Linked DNA regions of Danio rerio. The protein of the gene in region 1 purifies or fractionates together with the protein of each later gene. This does not show direct contact. Links are inferred from orthologs where the notes say so. Each region holds a gene or a part of one and is shown in the gene's direction. Other genes may lie near its edges.

Region 1 (3,758 bases):
AGTGCATGAGTGCATAGTGTATAGTGTGCCATTTGGGACGCAGCTAGGGTCATGCGTCAAGTTTCGAAATCGCATCACTTGACTGCGTGACCAATCGAGGAGCAAAACATGACCTCTCTGGACAAAAATTTTAAACATGGAGCAATCGCTCGCTTTTAAAAATATCAAATCATCTTGTTTAATTCTGCCCCTTTTCGCAGCCCCTCACGACAGAATTTCGCACGCACAAACTCTAGTGTGACCGTAGCTTTAGTTTCGACTTCCCGCCCAACTTAACAAGGGGGCGGAGCCAATAGCTCCCCTGCTTTGTGTTTGGCAACAGACAGGCAGACAGAGAGAAGGAACATGAGTGTGAGGACCAGCATTCAGCGGTACATGTACGACTGGGACACAGACCAAGCAGAGAATACAAAAGAATTTGTGTCTTTGTATAGTTTTGCAGCTAACCGTGTGCTAGTTTACAGTTCCGAGCTTGTACACCGAGACTAACAACAACGCACGCTGAATTAACTTTAACTGAGGCACTGGATGTGCCGTTTAGAGCCGTGACAAGGCACACCAGACACGCACATTCGCATGTTATTTAAAATTAACCTGCGGGTCGCCGAGCAGCGCTTCTGGTGTGCGACCTACAGGCAAGGTCATTATTTCCAATACGGAGACGCGCACTTGAGGCAATGCACTCACGATTTCCACCTAGTTAAGATGACAGGGAGTTCCTGTGACCGCAGGAAATGCAAACGGCTGAAGTTTAAGATAGACGCAATGAAAAGTACACAAACCCACCTAAAGTTAGAAACAATGGCGCCGATGAGCGATCATGTGGTGAATGTTGATCTTGTGTTGAGCCCAATGAGCCTTACATCTAAAAACAGAGCAGGGTATTCCTTTGGTGGCATCGCTTTGACTCATACGCTGAAAGTAGCAGACGTGAAACAACAAACTGTGGATATGGTAATGTGCGCCTGTCAATCAATGTTGGTGGGCGGGGGGACCGAACTCCTACGTTAAGTTGCTGTCAATCTAAAAAACGCTCCAATTGGTCCACCGTTTTTAAGTTGATAAATTGAAAAAAATGACTGGGTGTGTTTATATCCCAACAATATGACAGTTCAAACAGCTTGAAAAGTAGATTTTTCACCCTAGGTGCTCTTATAAATAAATATTGATGAAAACATATCAAACTGTAGTAAAGTTGTGTCGTTTTGAAATGCACTAACGTTATAATACAATGTAAAGTAACTCAGCGTGTGTACATGAACAGATTGGCTTTAATCAACGATAATTTTGTCGTTTTCATAAGAAATAAAGTTTATAAAATGGCATCGTGTTGTGAGGACTGAGGAAACGGTCAGAGCTGTTGATGATGGGAGGAGATTTGAGGGGCTTTTTTCAAATCCACAAACAATCCAAAACCACCAATGGGCGGCTTCACACGGAGAGAATTGCGAACAAGTGTTGTGGGGGTTGTAGTTTTAGCTTACCGCGTTAAACAGAATTGTGGACGAGGAGGAATCCCGCATAAACTACAACTACCGACTTTCCCTGAAAGTCTCCGCGCAGGCGCAAAGCAGCGGCTTCGCCAAATGTTTTGTTTCCACGCCATATTTGTTAGCCGGCTAGCTCTCGCAGGAGGGGCTCCGTCTCGATCCTGATCTGAATCCGCCATCATCGGGGCTTCGTCGTGCAGAATCATCTCCACGTCCGCATCTCTCGCCGCAAAAACGCGTTTATCCCCGCTCAGCCACGGTTTTGGCCTGAAGGTCGTCGCGGAGTTTGAATAAAAACGCAGTGATCGGGACGCGCTCCCTTGAGATCGGGGTAGGACTGTGCCTAGCGGGGGCTCTCGCTGCTCGGCGGAATATTTCTCTTCGCTTTATTTGCTGTCAAACACCAGTTCTCGGTAAAATGGCTTGCGGAGCCACTCTTAAAAGGACTATGGACTTCGATCCGCTGATGAACCCCGCGTCCCCGAAGAGGAGGAGATGTGCGCCCATGTCGCCGTCCAGCTCCAGCGCCTCCCCGCAGAAATACCTGCGCATGGAGCCCTCGCCCTTCGGCAGGGTGTCTTCAGCACTCACCACAGGTCAGTCCGCTGCTCACACACACCCGTCGACCGGAAAGAGGCTGGAAAACCGACTGAAAACCGAGCATGGAGGTGTAGTTTTTCCGCTGTTAGCAGAGCAGCTAACGCTATATTACACATCCAAACACAGGAGCCAGTTTCCTTCTCTGGCGACACACAGTCAATCAATCATCCGTCATCAAACTGAAGTGATTATTAGGCTGTTTCAGGAATTCTGCTATTTGTTATTAGCGGACATTTCCGTAGACTTCGAGTCGTTGCTAGTGTTTTCGGCTCGCCTGCTGATAGTGTTACATTAGAGGAGTATATTGATAAACTCGTAAGTGTGTGTGGATGAGATATAAGGCTGCTCCTCCTGCAGTTTTACCCTATCTCTATGTGGTTATCAGTGTGAATGTTCGGGTTTTTGTGAAGCACATTAGTCAGACAGTCGCTTCCGGAAGTAAACTCCGTTCATTTCCTCTTTGGGAAAGTAGATTTTTATCTATATAAATCATTTAAGAGAGTCCTGCCGTGAACTCAAGATTCTTTATATCATCACATACTCTATACTCGTGTTGATTAGGAGATTTTTTCTAGTTAAAAATGATCTGCACAGAATTTAAAGGGACAGTTCACTCAAACGTCAACATTTCCTTATTTACTCACGCTCGAGTGCATCTGAATTGATTCTCTTCTGTTGTACACAAAGTGAGAACAACATTTCTTATGAATGTTGGAAAACAACAGCCATTGACATTCATAGTTGGAACAAACAATACTATGTGAGTCAATGGCTGTTTTTCCTGAACCCTTCAGAATATCTCCTTTGTGGTCAACAGAAGAAAGAAGCAAATAGGTTTTTAACAAAGTGAATAAAGAGAAATCGCTGACATGGTTTTCATTTATTGTCTGTCTCTTTAACAGATTTGTATTAAAACATTACCCCTGATGAGTTGAGTGCAGGGGTGATGTACTATATTAAGTAAACTGAATTTAAATTGATTATGGAAAATCTGACTTTTTCAGCAAGTGTTAAGGCTGATTTATACTTATGCGTCAAACGCCGGCGTATGCTACGGCGCTGATGCATAGCCCTTCGCCGTGGCCATCGCCGTCACTGACGTGCACCTCTCAAAAAATGTAACTACATGATGCAACAATGCGTAGCGCAAGCTCTGTGATTGGTCGGCTTGGTAGCGCTGACGAGTCGGGGCGGGACCGAGAGCTGCGCGAATGGCGCGAACCCAATGTAGCGATTGTTTACAAGTGTGGAGTCCCGTGAAGGAGCTCCGGATGGAAAGTTTTGTTTTGTGTTTACCTCATAGTTAAAGTTGCTGCACGTCCGCCAGTTGCTGCCTCAAAATGAGCGAGTTTGAGTCACTTGTACATCCAGGAAGTGTTCAGGAAAAGCAAAACAGCAGCGAAGAAACTCGACACAGAGGAACATTTACACCTCACTGCCCACTAGCGTTTCAGAAGTGTTAATGCAGACCAACAGAGACAGCGCGCAGAAGTATGAATGCACAGCCACGCGCGTTGCATGCGCCGTGGGTTACGCCGGTCACTTGACGCAGAAGTGTAAATCAGGCTTTATGCTGTGTTCACACAAGATGCGGCGAGCGCGGGTAAACCACGCTATTTGTATGTACATAGACGCGTGAACATTTCAAGTTTACTCGATTCATTCGCG
Region 2 (3,658 bases), on another chromosome or scaffold:
CACAGGTGAGGTCCTTGGCTTTGAAAACCTCGTCTTCAGCATCTTTGAGTTTGTCCACACACTCTTGGAGAACAAGAAGTTCAAGAGCACAGTGAAGAAAGCTTTACCGGAACTCATCTATTACATCATCCTTTACATGCAGATCACGGAGGATCAGGTTTGTGGGAGGTGTCAGTGTGTGTTGTCTTTTTATACACGTGTGTAAATATATATATATATATATATATATATATATATATATATATATATATATATATATATATATATATATATATATATATATATATAGCTTTTATCTTCACATTCAAATCCATCTCACAGATCAAGGTGTGGACGGCCAACCCACAGCAGTTTGTCGAGGATGAGGATGATGACACGTTCTCCTATTCGGTTCGGATATCAGCACAGGATCTGTTGCTGGTGAGAGCGTTGGGAGTTTGTTTGTGGATGTTTGAATGTTCTCCTTTTTTTTTTTTTCTTCATCTCTAATGCTTGCTTCTGTCTATCAGGCTGTTGCTGCTGAATTTCAGAACGAGAGTGCTGCAGCTTTAGCGGCAGCCGCAACACGACACCTTCAGGAGGCAGAGCAAGCCAAGAACACTGGCAGTGAGCACTGGTAAACACAAATGCTGCTTTCAAAAATATCAGTGGCTCTATTTTAATACATTCTCAATTTGATGAGTTAATATGGAATCCTAAAGAGCACCGGTGTGTTTTAATTGGAATAGACATGAATTTATATCAAAGAGTGTGCTGATTAGATTGCTTACTGCGATTTGTGTAATTGTTTAGTCAGCCTTTATCTCTGTATTTTTGTGTATATATGCAACATACACTGTGTATATAATTGACGGCAAAATTATTAGCCCTTGTGTGAACAGGGTTTCTGTGGAGACTTAAAAATACATTTCAAAAGCTAAATTTTAGGCCTTAAAAGGTCTTAAATTTACTGAAATATTGTTTTAAAGGTCTTAAACAAGTCTTAGTTTGCATATGTCCCTTTCTCCAATCACCAACAATCTGTCTCAAAAAAAAACTTTTAACCAAACTCTCTTTACCAATGTTTTTTTTTAGAAGAAGAAATTGTTTTAAAATTGTTCTTGTATACAACTATGGTTTGCTTGTTTTTACACATTATTTAAAATATGCGGCCAAGAAATCATCATGATTGGGGCATCATGGTGGCACAGTGAGTAGCACGATAGCCTCACAGCAAGAAGGTCGCTGGTTCGAGCCTTGGCTTGGTCAGTTGGCATTTCTGAGTTTGCATGTCCTCCCTGTGTTCACGTGAGTTTCCTCTGGGTGTTCCCCTACAGTCCAAAGGCATGCAGTACAGGTGAATTGAATTGGCTAAATTGGCTGTAGTGTATGTGTTTGAATGAGAGTGTATGGATGTTTTTTAGTGATGGGTTGCAGCTGGAAAGACATCTGCTGCGTAAAACATATGCTTGATAAGTTAGTGGTTTATTCTGCTGTGGCGACCCCTGATGAATAAAGGGTATAAGCCGAAAAGAAAATTAATGAATGAATGAATTGTTTTGGAATGAGGCAAGTAAACTTTAGGGCTATTGGATAAATCTTTAGTGTTTAGCCCTGTGTTGGTCTGAAATTTCATTTATAACTGTCTTAAAGAGTCTTAAATTGGACTTTGTAAAACCTGCAGAAACCCTGGTTTCATTTCCTTTTTTAATTATTTACAAACTGATTTTTAATAAAAAGAAGATTATTTTAAGCAGAATAGTTTTAGTAACTAATTAGTAATAACTAAATTTTTGTCTTTGCCATAAAGACTATTTTTAGATGCGTTATTAGATATAGTAAGTGTAGCGGTTGACCCAAAGATAAAGCTTTTGCAGATGGCAATACTAGTGACTCGTCAATCATCTTGCATGTGCATCTTGTTTATTTCCTTTATTGCAAATTTAACAAATGTTAAGACAAAACAAAAAGGATGAATTATATGATTCTATCAACAAACAAATAAGAGCTCCCTCACTTACCCCCTTGCTCCTCTAGCCACTCCCTGGAACGGGTTTTTTAAGTAATGACACTCATGTTTTTCGTTAGTCACATGACATCACACATTATACATAATATTTACACGGTTCTTATAGTAAGATCTAGTATTCAGCAAGTTTGGTTAGTTATGCTGGTTAATTTTTGGACAACAGTGGTTTATTCTGTAGGCAATCTAAAAAATTTATTTCTTGTAGGGTCTAATAATATATATTTTTAAACTGCGGTTATTTAAGCAAAACTAAAAGAAGTTAGATTTTCTCCAGAAGCAAAGAAAAATAGGAAATACTGTGATGATTTTTAAAAAAATATATATATTGAATGAAATCACATTGCCCATGCTACATTTATAAAAGAAAATTGATATTTAGTGCTAACTCAATATAAAAGCCAGTTTGTACTGTATTCAATCTATAGAAGTGAATTGAATTTGTGAGTGAATTGAATCAATTACTTATGAAACAGATGAAAACATGAAATATGTGTCCCGTCATAGTTAAAGGGTTCCCACAATTATTGAAAGTAAAATAGCTTAAATTTTTAGAAATCTTTATTCCAGGGTTAGAAAGTATTTAAAAACAAACATATGTCATATAAATATATGGATAATAGTAGTATTACCAGTATTTAATTTAACTTTAAATACAATAAAGATTTTCATAGCGCTACACATGCTGGGGGCAATTAAAAAGGTGCTTCATTTGAAAATAATGGTGCTTTAATAGTCTTGAATGTGTTCATGAACGAGCGGGAACCCTGTAGTAAAATAAACACATCTTACATTCTATCACAAGCAAACTTGTTCTTTTATTGTTTTGCTTCACATCAGTGTCTCTCCGCTGTTATGCAGGTGGAAGGTGCATGAAGCTTGCATGCTGGCGCTGGGATCAGTCAAAACCATCATCACAGAGAATGTAAAGAATGGTCGTGTGCAGTTCGATATGCATGGATTTCTTGCCAATGTCATCCTCGCGGACCTCAATTTACCTGGTAGCCTCCTTTAACATATTCCTTTTGATCGTACAACTTTAAACCACCCAAGAACAAAGACCGGATCTCATCCATGTGTTATTTGATTTCCAGCAGCCTCTCCGTTCCTGCTGGGTCGGGCCTTATGGGCAGCCAGTCGATTCACTGCAGCGATGTCTCCAGAGCTCATTCAGCAGTTCCTGCAGGCCACCGTGAGCGGGTTACACGAAAGCCAGCCACCCTCTGTTCGCATCTCTGCCGTCAGAGCTATCTGGGGGTGAGACTTCTGTTTCCACTTCATTTAATAGTTTGCAGAAACTGTGGTTTTATTTGCACCTCTTTGTTTATATTCTACTAATGCACAATAAATAGTTTTAGCACTGAATGTCGCAATGAATGCACACACAAAAATGTTAATATGTGGATTAAACCAAATAACCAACTTATTATTATTGTATTTGTATATATTGTTGTTATTATTGTTAAATACTGCCTTAAGTATTAATTTGCAATGCTATTCAAAGGTTTTTGGCAATAATTATTATTTCTAAAATACTTTAGTATGGCTGTTTCTAAATGAAAATTATTACACATAATATTTCTCTTTTACATAACAAACACTTTTTATTAATATAATTTTCAGTCAATGTAAGCAAGCACTAAGAACTGTTTT
Region 3 (3,658 bases), on another chromosome or scaffold:
TAAAAAAAAGTTGTATGTATTATGCATGTTTTTCTGTAGAAAAGTTTTCATATGTAAGATAAATATTGATTCATACAATATTTTATTTATTTATTTATTTTATATAGCAAAGTTTATTTATATTAAAATATATATAAAAATAGTTTTTAAGCATCTAATCATTCACATCACTATTGAGATGCATCAAAAAATAATTACACAAAACAATTACACCAGTTGCATGTGACCTGCATAAATACAGATCGAAATCCATTTTTTGGAAAGTTCATTTGCACAAGTTTGAAAACGCCCTTAATGTAATGTGTGAAACATATATATATATATATATATATATATATATATATATATATTATATATATATATATATATATATTATATATAAAGGAACAGCTAACCTGGTGATTTTGTTCATATATATTTTATTTATTCATAAAGACTTGATTACATTGTGAAGTGTTTATAAATCACACCAACCTTTTTATATACACAGATACCACATGGATCCTTCAGGCACTTTTGTCCAGTGTGACGCGAGAGCAATCGGCTCAGCATCTGAAGGCGCTCAGAGCTCTCTTCAAGAGGTTTACCACAAGGTAAATACCAACTGCTTATAAACATCTTGGTCTTTTATCTGCAGGTCATCATCAATTTTTGATCTCATTTTGGCTATATACTCCCACATTTTTTATTTTTTTTATTTTTTATATATATATATATATATGAGCAATATCACACTCGTAGCAGTGCGATATGGCTGTATATCGGCAGTGCCGATATACAGCTATATCGCACTGCTACGAGTGTGATATTGCGTTTATACAACAGTTTGACGGCATTATTGTGTATATAAAAACAAAATCAAACATGGATAGTCTAAAAAACCCTTTTGCATGAGGAACTACTTTTTTTCCCGGATTCTAATCATAAGCTGACAGTTAAACAGTTGAGCGTGCATCTTTTAAAATTTAGATCTCTAGTGCCTGCTTTTTGCTGGTTGTATGTGGGCGGAGTAATACACAAAGGGTATAGAGGCTGTAGGAGTTCTGATATTGCAGGATATCGCACGGCTATCAGCCAATCAGATTTGAGAACCAGACAGATCTGACAGACAAAACTGTTGTATAAATGTAATGTTGTTCTGGTTCTCAAATCTGATTGGCTGATAGCCGTGCGATATTCTGCAATATCAGAACTCCTACAGCCTCTTTACCCTTTGTGTATTACTCCGCCCACATACAGCCAGCAAAAAGCAGACACTACAGATCTAAAGTTTAAAAGATGCTTGCTCAACTGTTTAACTGTCAGCTTATGATTTTAATCAAATGTGGAAGAAAGTAGTTCCACATACAAAAGTGTTTTTGAAACTCTCCGTGTTTGATTTTGTTTTTATATACACAATTATGCCGTCAAACTGTTGTATAAACGCAATATCACACTCGTAGTAGTGCGATATGTCTGTATATCGGCACTGGTGGAAGACGTGCGATGACACGAGGCCGCAGGGCGAGTGCATTAGTGCCCCCACCAGTGCTGATATACAGCCATATCGCACTGCTACTCATGTAATATTGCTCATATACATATATTATTAGCCCTTTTAAGCAATTTCTTTAGTCTACAGAACAAACCATTGGTATACAATAACTCGCCTACTTACCCTAACATGCCTAGTTAACCTAATTAACCTAATTAAGCCTTTAAATGTCACTTTAAGCTAATAAGAAGTGTCTTGATAAATATCTAGTGAAATATTATCTACTGTCATCGTGGCCAGCAATCTGTCATACTGTCATTCCAGCCGCAACCCATTGCTTGGAAACACCCATAAACACTCATTCACACACATACACTACAGGCAATTTAGCTTACCTAATTCACCTATAGCGCATGTGGGGAAAACCGGAGCACCCGGAGGAAACTCACGTGAACACGGGGAGAAACATGCAAACTCCACACATAGATGCCAACTGACCCAACCGGGGCTCGAACCAGCGACCTTCTTGCTGTGAGGCGATCGTGCTACCAACTGTCACTATAATGCCCTACTACAAAATTTAGTTTTTATATTAATTACAGTAATATTATTATATAATATGCAAATTTGTATGATTTATGTACAATTTAAGTTGTACTTTGTCTACCAAACTAGTTGTTCTAGTTGTATCTGTATTACAACGTTTAAATTAAAGTTAAAAGTATTTTGTATTATTTAATGTGTTGAGCTTTTAGTTACTATACTCTCAAAGTTTTTCTGCCCAAGTCCACAATTTTTTATTTAATAATAGCAGAAAAATATAATAGCAAACAATATCCACATTTTCCCTGGCCCCACTTCTAGCTTATATATTTTATATTAGTTTGTGTTTGTTTCTGTACTGCATATCAAACATATGCATATTAAATGAAATCCATCAGATCCCCAATGTCACAGCTAGGTTATTTCCGGATGGTATTTTCACAGAGCAAAGTGTTTCTCCCGAGAGAACCCTACAGATCAAATTGGAGCCCTGTGCTCAGAAAATAAGAGTCCTTTTTTTAAATCCACCCCACCCATCTCCCCATTCCAGTATGTCATGCCTCTACTAGTGTAACCTTGCCCATGTGACCCTAAAATCTAATAAGCAGGACGCACTGTCCAAAAGGCTTCTTCATAAATCTAATTGCTTCCAAGCAAAATTCCACAAGTTACACTATGGATGTTGCTTTTTCCTCCCGCTAAACAAACGTCTTTGTCTTTTCCAGTCTATGACGTTAAAGGATGCCATTAAGTCTTCTCTCACTATCCTGAAACAAGTGATGGAGGAGAAACTCAATGCCACCAATATTGAGGTAACAATGCTCAAGCGATCACATGGTGTTGGTCATATGAAATATAATTTAATTTAAACATATTTCTAAGTCATGACTGTTTTCTTCTCTTTCCCTGCAGCTTGCCACAGTAGAGCCGGGCAAAACCTTTCACATGTACACAAAAGAAGAGCTGGAGGATGTCATCAAGGATATCTAAACGTGCTAAGCATAACAGATGTTCAATATGAAAAGTCCAGTGTAATTTTTGTGTGAATCATCACACAGCAGAATGGATACATAATACTCTGACTGCATTGTAGGGTTTGCCTGTTCAGACGGGAATCGAATCTTTATACTTTTCTTTTTCCTTCTGTCAGTCCCAAAATTTCTATAGTTCTGTACAAGCACAGGACAGCAGATATTGTCATTGAAATAACTGGGGGGTTCTTTTTGTTACCAATCACTGCGTTAATAAACTGTTGTTGAAAATGGTGTTTCAATAATTCTTTTTCCTCTGAGTATCTCACTTATAGGCTGATAAAAATAAAAGCTAATTTAATTATAAAGATATATATGTAATGTCACTTGTTATGTGTCGATAACCATTTTCAAGGTATACCGCGGTTTGGAAAAGTCAAGGTTTTAAACTTGCCAAAATATTCTGCCAAAGTTTTTACATTTTGTTTTCAGTTTTTTTTAGGACGGCAGTATCTTTAACAGAAAAGATATCCAAAGATGCCATTTTAAACTAATGAAGGCCGCAGAAGTCAATGATTCATTTGAAATATTTCTTAAAATAAAATATCCTGTGTTCAAAGGGGAAAAAGTTCTTGTTTTTACCCAGACATTTATAAAGCATCTGGTGTAT

What was found.
Region 2: the proteins of akirin2 (region 1) and ipo9 purify together in Homo sapiens (affinity purification with mass spectrometry; 3 studies listed by BioGRID and IntAct, counting the BioPlex papers as one, with this or other methods). This does not show direct contact. The link is inferred for Danio rerio from reciprocal best matches to the Homo sapiens genes AKIRIN2 and IPO9.
Region 3: the proteins of akirin2 (region 1) and psma5 purify together in Homo sapiens (affinity purification with mass spectrometry; 3 studies listed by BioGRID and IntAct, with this or other methods). This does not show direct contact. The link is inferred for Danio rerio from reciprocal best matches to the Homo sapiens genes AKIRIN2 and PSMA5.

Annotation. Positions count from the first base shown.
Region 1 is NC_133195.1:2,814,183-2,817,940, reverse strand, and holds the start of akirin2 (akirin-2), read left to right. Parts: upstream 1-1,604; 5' UTR 1,605-1,908; coding exon 1,909-2,086; exon of another isoform or gene 2,087-2,482; intron 2,483-3,758. UniProt on the Homo sapiens protein: Molecular adapter that acts as a bridge between a variety of multiprotein complexes, and which is involved in embryonic development, immunity, myogenesis and brain development.
Region 2 is NC_133186.1:26,936,813-26,940,470, forward strand, and holds part of ipo9 (importin-9), read left to right. Parts: intron 1-5; coding exon 6-157; intron 158-321; coding exon 322-420; intron 421-509; coding exon 510-616; intron 617-2,866; coding exon 2,867-3,006; intron 3,007-3,099; coding exon of another isoform or gene 3,100-3,102; coding exon 3,103-3,262; intron 3,263-3,658. UniProt on the Homo sapiens protein: Nuclear transport receptor that mediates nuclear import of proteins, such as histones, proteasome and actin. Serves as receptor for nuclear localization signals (NLS) in cargo substrates.
Region 3 is NC_133186.1:38,737,497-38,741,154, reverse strand, and holds the end of psma5 (proteasome subunit alpha type-5), read left to right. Parts: intron 1-490; coding exon 491-593; intron 594-2,742; coding exon 2,743-2,829; intron 2,830-2,929; coding exon 2,930-3,007; 3' UTR 3,008-3,279; downstream 3,280-3,658. UniProt on the Homo sapiens protein: Component of the 20S core proteasome complex involved in the proteolytic degradation of most intracellular proteins. This complex plays numerous essential roles within the cell by associating with different regulatory particles.